Arabidopsis thaliana: one gene and its partner. The protein of the gene in region 1 interacts with the protein of each later gene in a pairwise test. Each region holds a gene or a part of one and is shown on either strand. Other genes may lie near its edges.

Region 1 (5,023 bases):
ACAATCAGACGACAATCAACTGGAGGAGCTCCTCCGGTAATTAGACAAATCTAACATTTCTATCAGTTTCCCTACTATGGTTGTTTGTGACTTGTGAATCAGATAATATATATATATATATATATATATATATATATATATATATATGTTTGTACTTTAAATAAAAACCTAAAAAGCATAACAATTTATGCTCCACATGGTTGAGTTTTAAACTTTTAAAGAAATAATAAAATATAAAATCAAAATCCACTCATTCCCATAAATGAGAATGAATACATTGACTAAATGAAAAATATTAGTGCTAAATTGCTAATGAATATCCATTCATATTCTATTTGATTTTATACCATTAATGGTTTTCATATTTCATCACTTGTGGGATAAATGTATATCTTTGTCTGGGCTTGAAATTTGTAGCATTAACTAGGTATTGATATGTTACACCATGGGATGATTTGTTTTCTAAAATTTGTGATTTTAATATGATTATGTATTTTATATAAAAGTTTGCAAATAATTTATGCATGATTGTCATTAAGTAATAGTATACTGCATGATAATTTTTTGTTTTATATAATCTCTACTAGATCAAGTTGATTTGATATGTCAGAAGGTGTTAAAAAATATTATTGATGGTGTTAAAAATAAATTTATTATGATTTTAAAGTTCAAGTGTGTGTTGATAAAATACTTAAAAGGATTTTGTTTTTTGATAGTCATGATTAAAATGTTTTTGTAATGTAGTTTGTTTTGCTTCGGAGTTGATATAGCTCAAATTGCCTTATGCTTACTCCCACAAATAAGAGATCGTTGTTAGCACTTAAGGGTCAAATTCCACTAAGCTCTCGTTGTTAACACAATAAACTTATGATGACTAATATTAAGCTAGACAAAGTAGATGAACCTAAAAGACAATAAAACAGTAAATTGAGTTGTAGGTTCACAAGACTTTTAAAATGGTTCACATAATATTAAAGGGTTTACAAGAGTTTTTAAAAGAATTTTAAATGGTTTACAATATGTTAGGTACATTAACATTTCAGTGTATATTATTGATTATATATTATATAATATTTGTACTTAACACTTTAAACGAAAATATTTTCTTTTTTAAAATGTGAGCTGTCATATTTTATATTTGAAAGAAAAAATATAAAATCTCAACAGTTCTAAAATTGAAAAGAAACCTTAAATCTAATCTGCTCAAAATGTTATTAAAGAATTAATAAAGGTAAGACATATGTTGAAAAACAACACATAAACGGAAAAATGAAACAATAAAAATAAGAGTATCACAAATCTCTAAATTTAAAAACAACATATCATTGTGAAAATAGAATGAAAAATATCACCATCATCAAACTGATAACAATAAAAACATAAATTGTGATGCAATCTATTACATGACAAAAAAACTGAAAGCTAATTATAAATTCACTTATCAATCCATTCTCGAAATTATTGTAATACCACATTAAATAAAATCCTAACGAAACCATTTATTATTGGAAATACTTAGAACAAGAACTATGTACGATATCGCTTGAGTTGCCGACATCAAGAGCGATGGAAGATTCTCCAGGGATATGATGTTGGTGCTCTTGTTGATGACGGTGGATGTGGTTGTGTTGGCTATCATCCATGAATTGAAACGCCATTTGCTCTCCTGGATACTTCATTTGCTCAAGATGGTTCATCATTTTCATAAACCATTGTTGTTGATTCTGATTGTGATTCTGATTTAAGCATCTCCATGTTTCCAATTAAGCATCGAAACATGACTTCAGTCATCTCGAGCTCCTTATTGTCCTTTCTTTGTCTCCTCAAATTCTCTGTCGGTTTCGCGATCCTTTGTTTGAGAAAACCTTCTTGATCTACCATCTTTTTGTGTTGATCCATTTCCGGGAGTGTCCTAAATTCGGAAACCACTCTTTGCACACCAGAATTTGATGGCCACACTTCATGACTGGTATCATACGGACTGTAGATGATCGCACACGATGTGATGCCACATAGAGTTGAGAGTTCATGTACTTTCTTCATCAACCCCTTCTTTCTTTTTTGAAAGTTGCTTTTCTTGAAGAATCGTTGGAAATGAAAGCAAGTTTCATTTTATTTCTCGTCATTAAAATGTTTTTTTGTATATTTTGAGATTGTTAATGTGTAGTATTATGTAGTACTGAGAAGGTACAAATATTTGTTATATAGGGTATCTTTATTTTAATACAAGAAAATATAAACTTCCAAATCAAGCTTTAATGCATGAACATTATAAAAAAAATCTGAATGGATTGAAGATAGAGATTATAACCGTTTTTCTTATTTACTACATGTATTATCACTACTGATTGACATATGTAGAACTATAGTCCAAATATTTATAGAGTGGTAACATCAAAACAATAAAATAGGATAAAATGTTTAGCTAGCAAATTTAGTTTTTAACAGCAAAAATCATCAATAAATATCAATCTGGTAATGTTATTTAAACATGATGCAACTAATATAATTATTTAATAATATATATAATTTTCAAATATTGTGATGATTAATAAGATATGGTATTAAAAGGTAGTCAAAGATTTGTTTCAAAATATTTTTGTGATTATTTCCCTTGCTGGAGACATTGAATCTCGGTTGTTGACTGGTAAATTAATCATGAACTATTTACCATATAGATAATTCTTTAAGAAATCAGTTTTTAAATCTCTTGATTTTATATATATATTAAAAATAGGTTAGCAAAATTACAATACCCATCGTAAAGTTTAAAAACTTCATAAGTAAAGGCATGTAAAACTAAACTACATTTCTTAAATGAAAAAAAAAAGTATAACGAGGGTGGTAAGTTGAAGGATAAAATGTTAACGAAAAAAGAATAAAATTTAGAAGAGACATGATGAGAAAAAAAAAATTGTATCCAACTTGTGATGTTATCAGAAGATTACAAGATCGCAGTCTAGCAAAATGTATATAAAACTATATTTAAACTCGCGGTATATCGGGGGAACAATTTATTTTTTAAATTAATATATATATTGTAAATTGTATCTATTTATAAAATATTTTTATTTTATAGTTTATAATTATTATTACGTAACGTCCTGCCAAACCCGTCCCGCCAACCTGTCCTGTAAAGAAAACTCATTTATTTTATTAATGTTGACCTTATTTATGATATGTTTATGAATTATTGTCTAAATATTTTGTAATTTTGTAGTAATTACATGCTATCAAATATCTCTGCGATTTGATGATTATAATCATGCAGAAAAGCAACATCAAAAATGATAATTTTGTAGTAATTAAATGATATTAAATATTTTGAAAGTTTTATTTTAGTAATTAATCGTGTAGTTAAGGTAGAAAGATTTTAAGAAGATTGTTAAATGTCAAATATTTAATTAGAAGATTTTCTTTCTAATTATCTAAAATAATTATTAAATGTCAGTGGCAGCCACTGTAAATAAATCCCAACTCCAGGATTTATTTTACAAAGTGGCTGCAAAAATGTATATGTAGATAATTAGAATAAACTAAGTGGTGAATGGTGTATATTATAAAGAACTTATAAATTGTTATGCAATTTAGTAAAATATTTACACAATATTTGGTGATGGTTTTTTACCCATTTTTCCTATAATTTGTGAAAGAAAAAAACAAAAAATGTTATGATATTCAATGTATAAGTTATTAATGGGACCGAATTGGCCTTGCCAGCATATTTGATTATTTTCTAGTCCTGAGATTTTGGCTAAACCGGGTTGTTCGGGTCGGGTTATTCCTTAACTTTTTTTTTTAACATCAATTTTTTCTTCTTTATTTATATTTCTTCTATTTGGATGATACATTTATTTTCTATCTCTCTGAACTTATTTGCTATTAACTTTTTGCAAAAATTAATTGAAATCCCTTTTCAAACTTCGTTGAGGCTATGATTTAAAATTTTAAAATATAACTTAAGACATATGTATGATTTAATAAAACGTATCATTCTCTTTGTTTATTTGATTATTTTTAAGTCATCCGCAATGCCTACAACAACGACGCTTGCAAAAAGTTCGTTTTCATCACCTCAAGATCTTTTTTTTTTGGTTTTTTATGTCTCCATAAATATATGACAATATTAGTATATTACTTACGTAATTTATCTTTTTATCTTCGTGTAATATATATTGTTTCTCTTCATCAATATCATTTTATTTATACTTTAATAAACTGGTACTGAGAGTGAGTACACAAAGACATAATGTCAGTGAGTGAAAGAGAGAAATTCCCCCGCTTTCTAAGGCAACTTTGCCTCAACAAACTTTCTTCTTTTTACCCTACACTTATTTTTCACGCATGCATACATTTTTAATAACAATGACGTGAGCCAAAATCGTTTATTCAACTTTTTGTTTTACATTATTACTATTACACTCTCCTCAATTTGCTTTTTGAAACATATATCAAGGTTTCTTATCCATTTATACATCTCAAATTTTGAATGTATTACTTAAAAGTAAATAAATAAATAAAACAGATAGTGTCTGTCAGAGTTAACAACAGTCTTGAAACTTGAATATTCCGATATCAATATATCATTCATGTAAAGTAAAACAATTTTACTAAACATAACAGAAACAAGTAGTTCTAGTAAAACCGTAACAGTAATTAGAGAGAAAGATTTTTATAAAGCTGTCTTGTCGCAATTTCAATACTCTCGACGGAAATTCATTTGGTTCAGTTCAATGATATCTATATTACATAAAAATAACTCTAAGAAACATTTCTATCATATTAATATTATGAGAAATGACTATATCAATGCTTACTACTGTGTATGTCTATATCACATGACTTTATTATACTCGTATGCATTATTATTACGTACCACTGCCTACTCAAGTAATGTAACACATAACCTTTTACCGAAAGAAAAAAAAAAAAGTAATGTAACACAAAAAGTGGAGTAACAATCAATGTTAACTTCATGTCTCATATATACACCCTAATACGCATGATGTAGTCTAATAAAGTA
Region 2 (5,219 bases), about 12 Mb from region 1:
TTATTTTGGAAGACAAAATGTATAAGATCACCATGGTTAGAAAAACAACCATATTTTCTATCTTTCATTGGAGTTATATATAACACATCATGTAAACAAAATCTAGTCAAATTTGAAATATATTAATTAAATTGGTGTATTTTTAACATATGAAGTATCATTTTAGAAAACAGAAAGAACAAAGTCAAGATAACTAGAGACACACGTACTTGAAATCATGAGTAAATAAATATTAGATTATACAAAGCCAGTTGGTACATAATGCACACCAAATTTTAATTTGGAAGACAATGTATAAATCAACATGGTTAGAAAAACAACCATAACTTTTAAAACTATGGATAATTATTCATAGTAGTTATATAACACATAACTTCATATAAACAAAATCTAGTCAAATTTGAAATATATTAATTAAATTGGTGTATATTTAAGAAAGAAAAAAAAAAGTCAAGATTGTTAAGAGGCACAACTATTTCTTTTAAACAAAAAACAATGAATTCAAAGTAGATTTACTGTTACAATTAATGCTATTTGCTCTTGGAGATTTTATACCTTAGCGAGTGCAACACAGTAATTAAATCTCTCAATATATACCATACGTCTCCGGAGAGAAGAAATCACTCACTTCTAATTCTCATCAAAGTTTTACAAAAAAAATGGAGAACCAATCTGTGTCTTCTTCAAGCTCCTCCACCACCCCAAAAAAACCTGATCAAAAACTCAAAAGTGCCGTTGTGACCGTGGAAGAGAAGGAGACAATGAACAATCCGGAACAAAGGCCCCCTCAAGAGGTTGTGTTTGAAAACACGATCCCTGACCCTGAGTTGCCTGTTTTCACATTAGAAGTTGTCCGAACGGAAAGAGATAACGAGCTAAAATATCCTCCAAAGGATAAAAATCTCGACTCGGTGCTTTCTGGTGGTACTTCTCTTCCGCCTTTCCAAAGCTTTCCAGTGCCCTCTTTCGGCCTCTTTGGTCCAGCGTATGGCGGTAGCAGCTCAACTAATGATATTAATCTGGATCTCACTCTTGGTCCATCTTCTTGGTCTAACACTAACCCATCTTCTTGGTCTAACACTGACCCATCGTTCTATCGAAAATTGTTCACTCCCGTGCTACCTTGTGTGCCTAGAAACAATTTTGTTGCTGGAAACCCGGTTGGTTCAAACACTAGGTATATTCCTCCGAATGGAAACAACAATGTTTGTCATGATTTTTTTTTTTTACAGGGGAATAGTTCGGCCTCTACTCACTCGAAAAGTCTCTTCTCAATGGGAAAGAACCAAGCCATGGTGCGTCATTTTGCTTTATCTTATCCAACCACCTATTATTGTTATGATTTGTTTTCTTTACAAGGGAATGGTTCGGGAAACTGGCCACTCAAGTCTCATCTCAAAGTGGGAAAAAAAGTCAGGGTGCCTCCTTTGGCTCCTCCCTATTGAAACAACAATCATGATTTTTTTTCTTTACAGGAGAATGGTTCGGGATCTAGTCACTCGAAAAGTCTCTTCTCAATGGAAAAGAACAAAGCCGTGGAGCCTCCTGTTGCTCCTCCTAATGGAACCACCGATCTTCTGTTTCCTTCACCCGAGAATGGTTCGGGCTCTAGTCACTTAAAAAGTCTCATCTCAAAGGGGGAAAACAAAGTCGTGGTGCCTGAAAATGATGATGATGATGATGATTATACTGATACTACTATCGGGAGGATAAGGTGGTTGAACAAGAAAAAAAGATCAAGACCAGAGTAGTAATTTATCTATGTCCCTTTGATTTTTCAGTTTTCTATTGAGGCTTATGTTCACCTCTCTTTTTTTTTTCATGCAATTGTTTCTTCGTTTCGTTTCAAATAATCTCTGTTGTTTCGATTAATTCATCAGTCCCTTTTGTTCAATTCCTATATCTCATGATTGCTCTAAAATTCCTGCAATTTTCAGAATTCATGGCCCAATTATTCGTAAGCAAACGTTATTTTTTCAAAAGGTTAAAGAGGTTAAAGAGACATTAAAGAGACAAAATGTATAAAATCACCATAGTTAGAAAAACAACCATATTTTTAAGAATATAGATAACTCATAGTAGTCATACGTAACGCATATGAAGAATATTGATTATATTGTTGTGTTTTTATCTTATGAAGTATCATTTTCTAGAAAGAAATTAAAGAATAAAGTGAATGACAGTTGTAGTCTTGGAGAAACAATTATTGCTTTTAAACAAAATTAAGTAGTTTTACGGTATCAATTAATATTTGTTACCCTTGGAGATTATATACCTTAACGAGTTAAATACAATAATTACTATCCTCTCAATAAATATCGCCTCTAAGCAAAGAGATAAGACATCACTCACTTCTAACTGTCAGCAAAGTTTTACAAAACAAATTATGAACAACCAATCTATGTCTTCTTCAAGCTCCTCCTCCCCACACAAACATGATCAAAAACTCAAAAGTGCCCTTGTGGCCGTGGAGGAGAAGGAGACAATAAACAATCCGAAACAAAGGTCTCCTCAAGAGATTGTGTCTGAAAGGACAAACCTTGAGATGCCTAGTTTCAGATTAAGTTTTTTCCGAAAGAAAAGAGATACCGTGCTAATACATCCTCCCAAGGATAACAAGATCAGCCACACCTGTCGTTTCTGCAAGAGGAATTTCAAAAGCTGTTTTGCCCTAGGCGGTCACATGAAGTGCCACAAAAAGGAACGAGAATTGGAGAAGCAGCGAAAGATAATCGAGGATGCGATGCTTTGTGATAGTACTCCTTTCACCTTGCAAAGGCTTCCTGTTGGCCCTTGTAAGTATGGCCAAGGTGGTAGCTCACATGCTTTATCAACTGATGGTATTAATCTTGATCTAACTCTTGGTCCATCCAAGTCCACAGGAGGCAGCAACAATAGCACTAATAACAACACTAACTCATCGTTCCATGGGAATCTAATGACTCCCGTGGGTCCTTGTGTGCCTAGATACAGTTTGGTTGCTGGAAACCAGGTTGATTCAAGCAATATACATGTTCCTGCTTATCCAACCACCGATCTTTGTTATGATTTTTTTGCTTTACAAGAGCATGGTTCGGGCTCTAGTCACTCAAAAAGTCTCATCTCAAAGGGGAAAAACAAAGTCATGGTGCCTGAAGATGATGAGGATATCGGGATGATAAGGTGGTTGCCCAAGAAAAAAAGATCAAGAGGAGAGTAGTAATTTATCTATGTCCCTTTGTGTTTTTCAGTTTTCTGTTTTCTATTGAGGCCTATGTTCACCTCTTCTTTTTTTCATGCAATTGTTTTTCTCTTTTTGTTTCTTTGTTGTCTTTTTGATGATTTTGATGTTTCGATTAATTCATCAAATCCCTTTTTCAATTCCTACATTTCATGATTGTTCTTAAATTTTTGAGATTTTCAGAAGTCATTTTCGTAAGCGAACTTAATTTTTTCAAAGGTTAGAGAGAATCTGCAATTTGCTTAAAAACATTAGTTAAAGAGACATTATCTCTTCATTGACAATTTGTTAGCCTTGGAAAATTGAAAAAAAAAAATAAGAGGCAGAAAGAAGGTCTATCTGATCTTCTATTGTTGTAATTGTAACCTCACAAAAAAAAAAAAAAAAAAAAAAAAAAAAAAAAAAAAAAGAGGCAGTGGTTTCCTTTTGACGATTAGGGTTTCGCTGGTTCCAGTTTGCCCGGTTTTCTTCCTTGACCCAGATCCGATTTACTAGATTGTATTACAAATGTAATCATCTTTCAGGATATTTGTAACAAAAAGATACAACTGTTATCCAATAAAACTGTTATTTTTTTTATGTATTAATATAATCTTGTAATCCTAGTAAGAATTTATAAAACTTAAAAACCTGTAAGGCTGTAACTGATGTTTGCATCTCCATTCTCCAAAGATCTTTTCTATTGAACAAAAATCAAAACTATTTTTGTTTCTCTTGTTCAAGAGAAATCTCCTTTTAAAGATAATTTCCTGAAGACATTTATTCCATAGTATGAAGATCGAGGTCTAGAAGTTGATAGTATTGAAAATTGTCTATTGGATCAACTGGATTGTTTTCTCAAACAAATGAAAGTCAATATTGAAAAACACAAGTGCTTTTTCTTCCAAGCAGGAGATTGATAATTTTGCATTTGGAGCTTGTGCAGATCATTTATATATTAATTTAAGTTCGTGAAGATTTAGGTTTATGGTTGTAGATACCTCACACAAAGCTTACATAGTAGTTACATAGGAATAATACCGAACATCGTCGCTTCATTTGAGATGTTGGGTTGATAGACCCAACAATAAAATCATCCTAAAAGAAGTAAGCTACGTACTTATTATTTATAAAGGCTTGTCCTCCTCCCTTCCTTAAAGCCAAAGCCAACTCTTTAAGTCTCGCTCTCACTGCTTCTGGCGAAAGCTCAAGTTGAGGATGACCTCTCAGAAAATCATCGCTTCCATTTCCATATTCCTCAGATTCAATCTTCTTAAAGCACATATACAATAGCAAAACGGAATCTAGAATTTTATATTATAAAAATGTTGCCACGATTTTTACCAATATCTTATTCAATGTCGACCAAATTAACTATTGAAACCCTAATATCACTGCTTTTATGGAAGTTTGTTTTTCTTGTTCAATCATCGTGGTCTAGAAGTTGATAGCATTGAGAGTTGCTATATGATGAAACTTTATAGTTTTTGCTAGACAATGAGAGTCAATATTGAATACATGAGGAATATGAATACTTCTCAACTTGCAAATTTGTATTTTTACTTCGCAAATTAACAATCTTTTATGAAATTTTAAACAAGTTTTTTGAAAACATCAACATAGATGGAAAATCTGACTAGGAATTTCACAGAAATATGTAAAATCGATTTCTAAGTTCTTGTTGTTAGTTTTAGATGTTATATATTAATGTTCAGGAGATAACGTCATCAAGCGGGGATAGCTCAGTTGGGAGAGCGTCAGACTGAAGATCTGAAGGTCGCGTGTTCGATCCACGCTCACCGCATTTTTCTTTTTGTTTTTGAAATTTTATTTCTCGTTGCAAAACCAAACGACGCCGTATAAATATAAAAGAACAAATTGACTTGGAGCGACGTTGCTTCGTTAGAACGTTAGGTCGCACGTGTAATTGACTTCTCTAAGAATCAAATTCATTGGGTTTCAGAAAAAAAAAGTTATAAACTTTCCATAGAGAATAATACAAGGTCGAAAAATGACAAAT

The links. Proteins that work in one complex are often made in the same cells at the same time.
Region 2: the proteins of AT5G27810 (region 1) and AT5G54360 interact in a two-hybrid assay, tested with the Arabidopsis thaliana proteins (one large-scale study listed by BioGRID).

What each region holds. Positions count from the first base shown.
Region 1 is NC_003076.8:9,852,847-9,857,869, reverse strand, and holds AT5G27810 (MADS-box transcription factor family protein), read right to left. Parts: upstream 2,200-5,023; 5' UTR 2,044-2,199; coding exon 1,684-2,043; 3' UTR 1,412-1,683; downstream 1-1,411.
Region 2 is NC_003076.8:22,069,476-22,074,694, forward strand, and holds AT5G54360 (C2H2-like zinc finger protein), read left to right. Parts: upstream 1-2,386; coding exon 2,387-3,199; downstream 3,200-5,219. Other genes in the region: AT5G54350 (C2H2-type zinc finger protein), read left to right, coding at 660-1,445.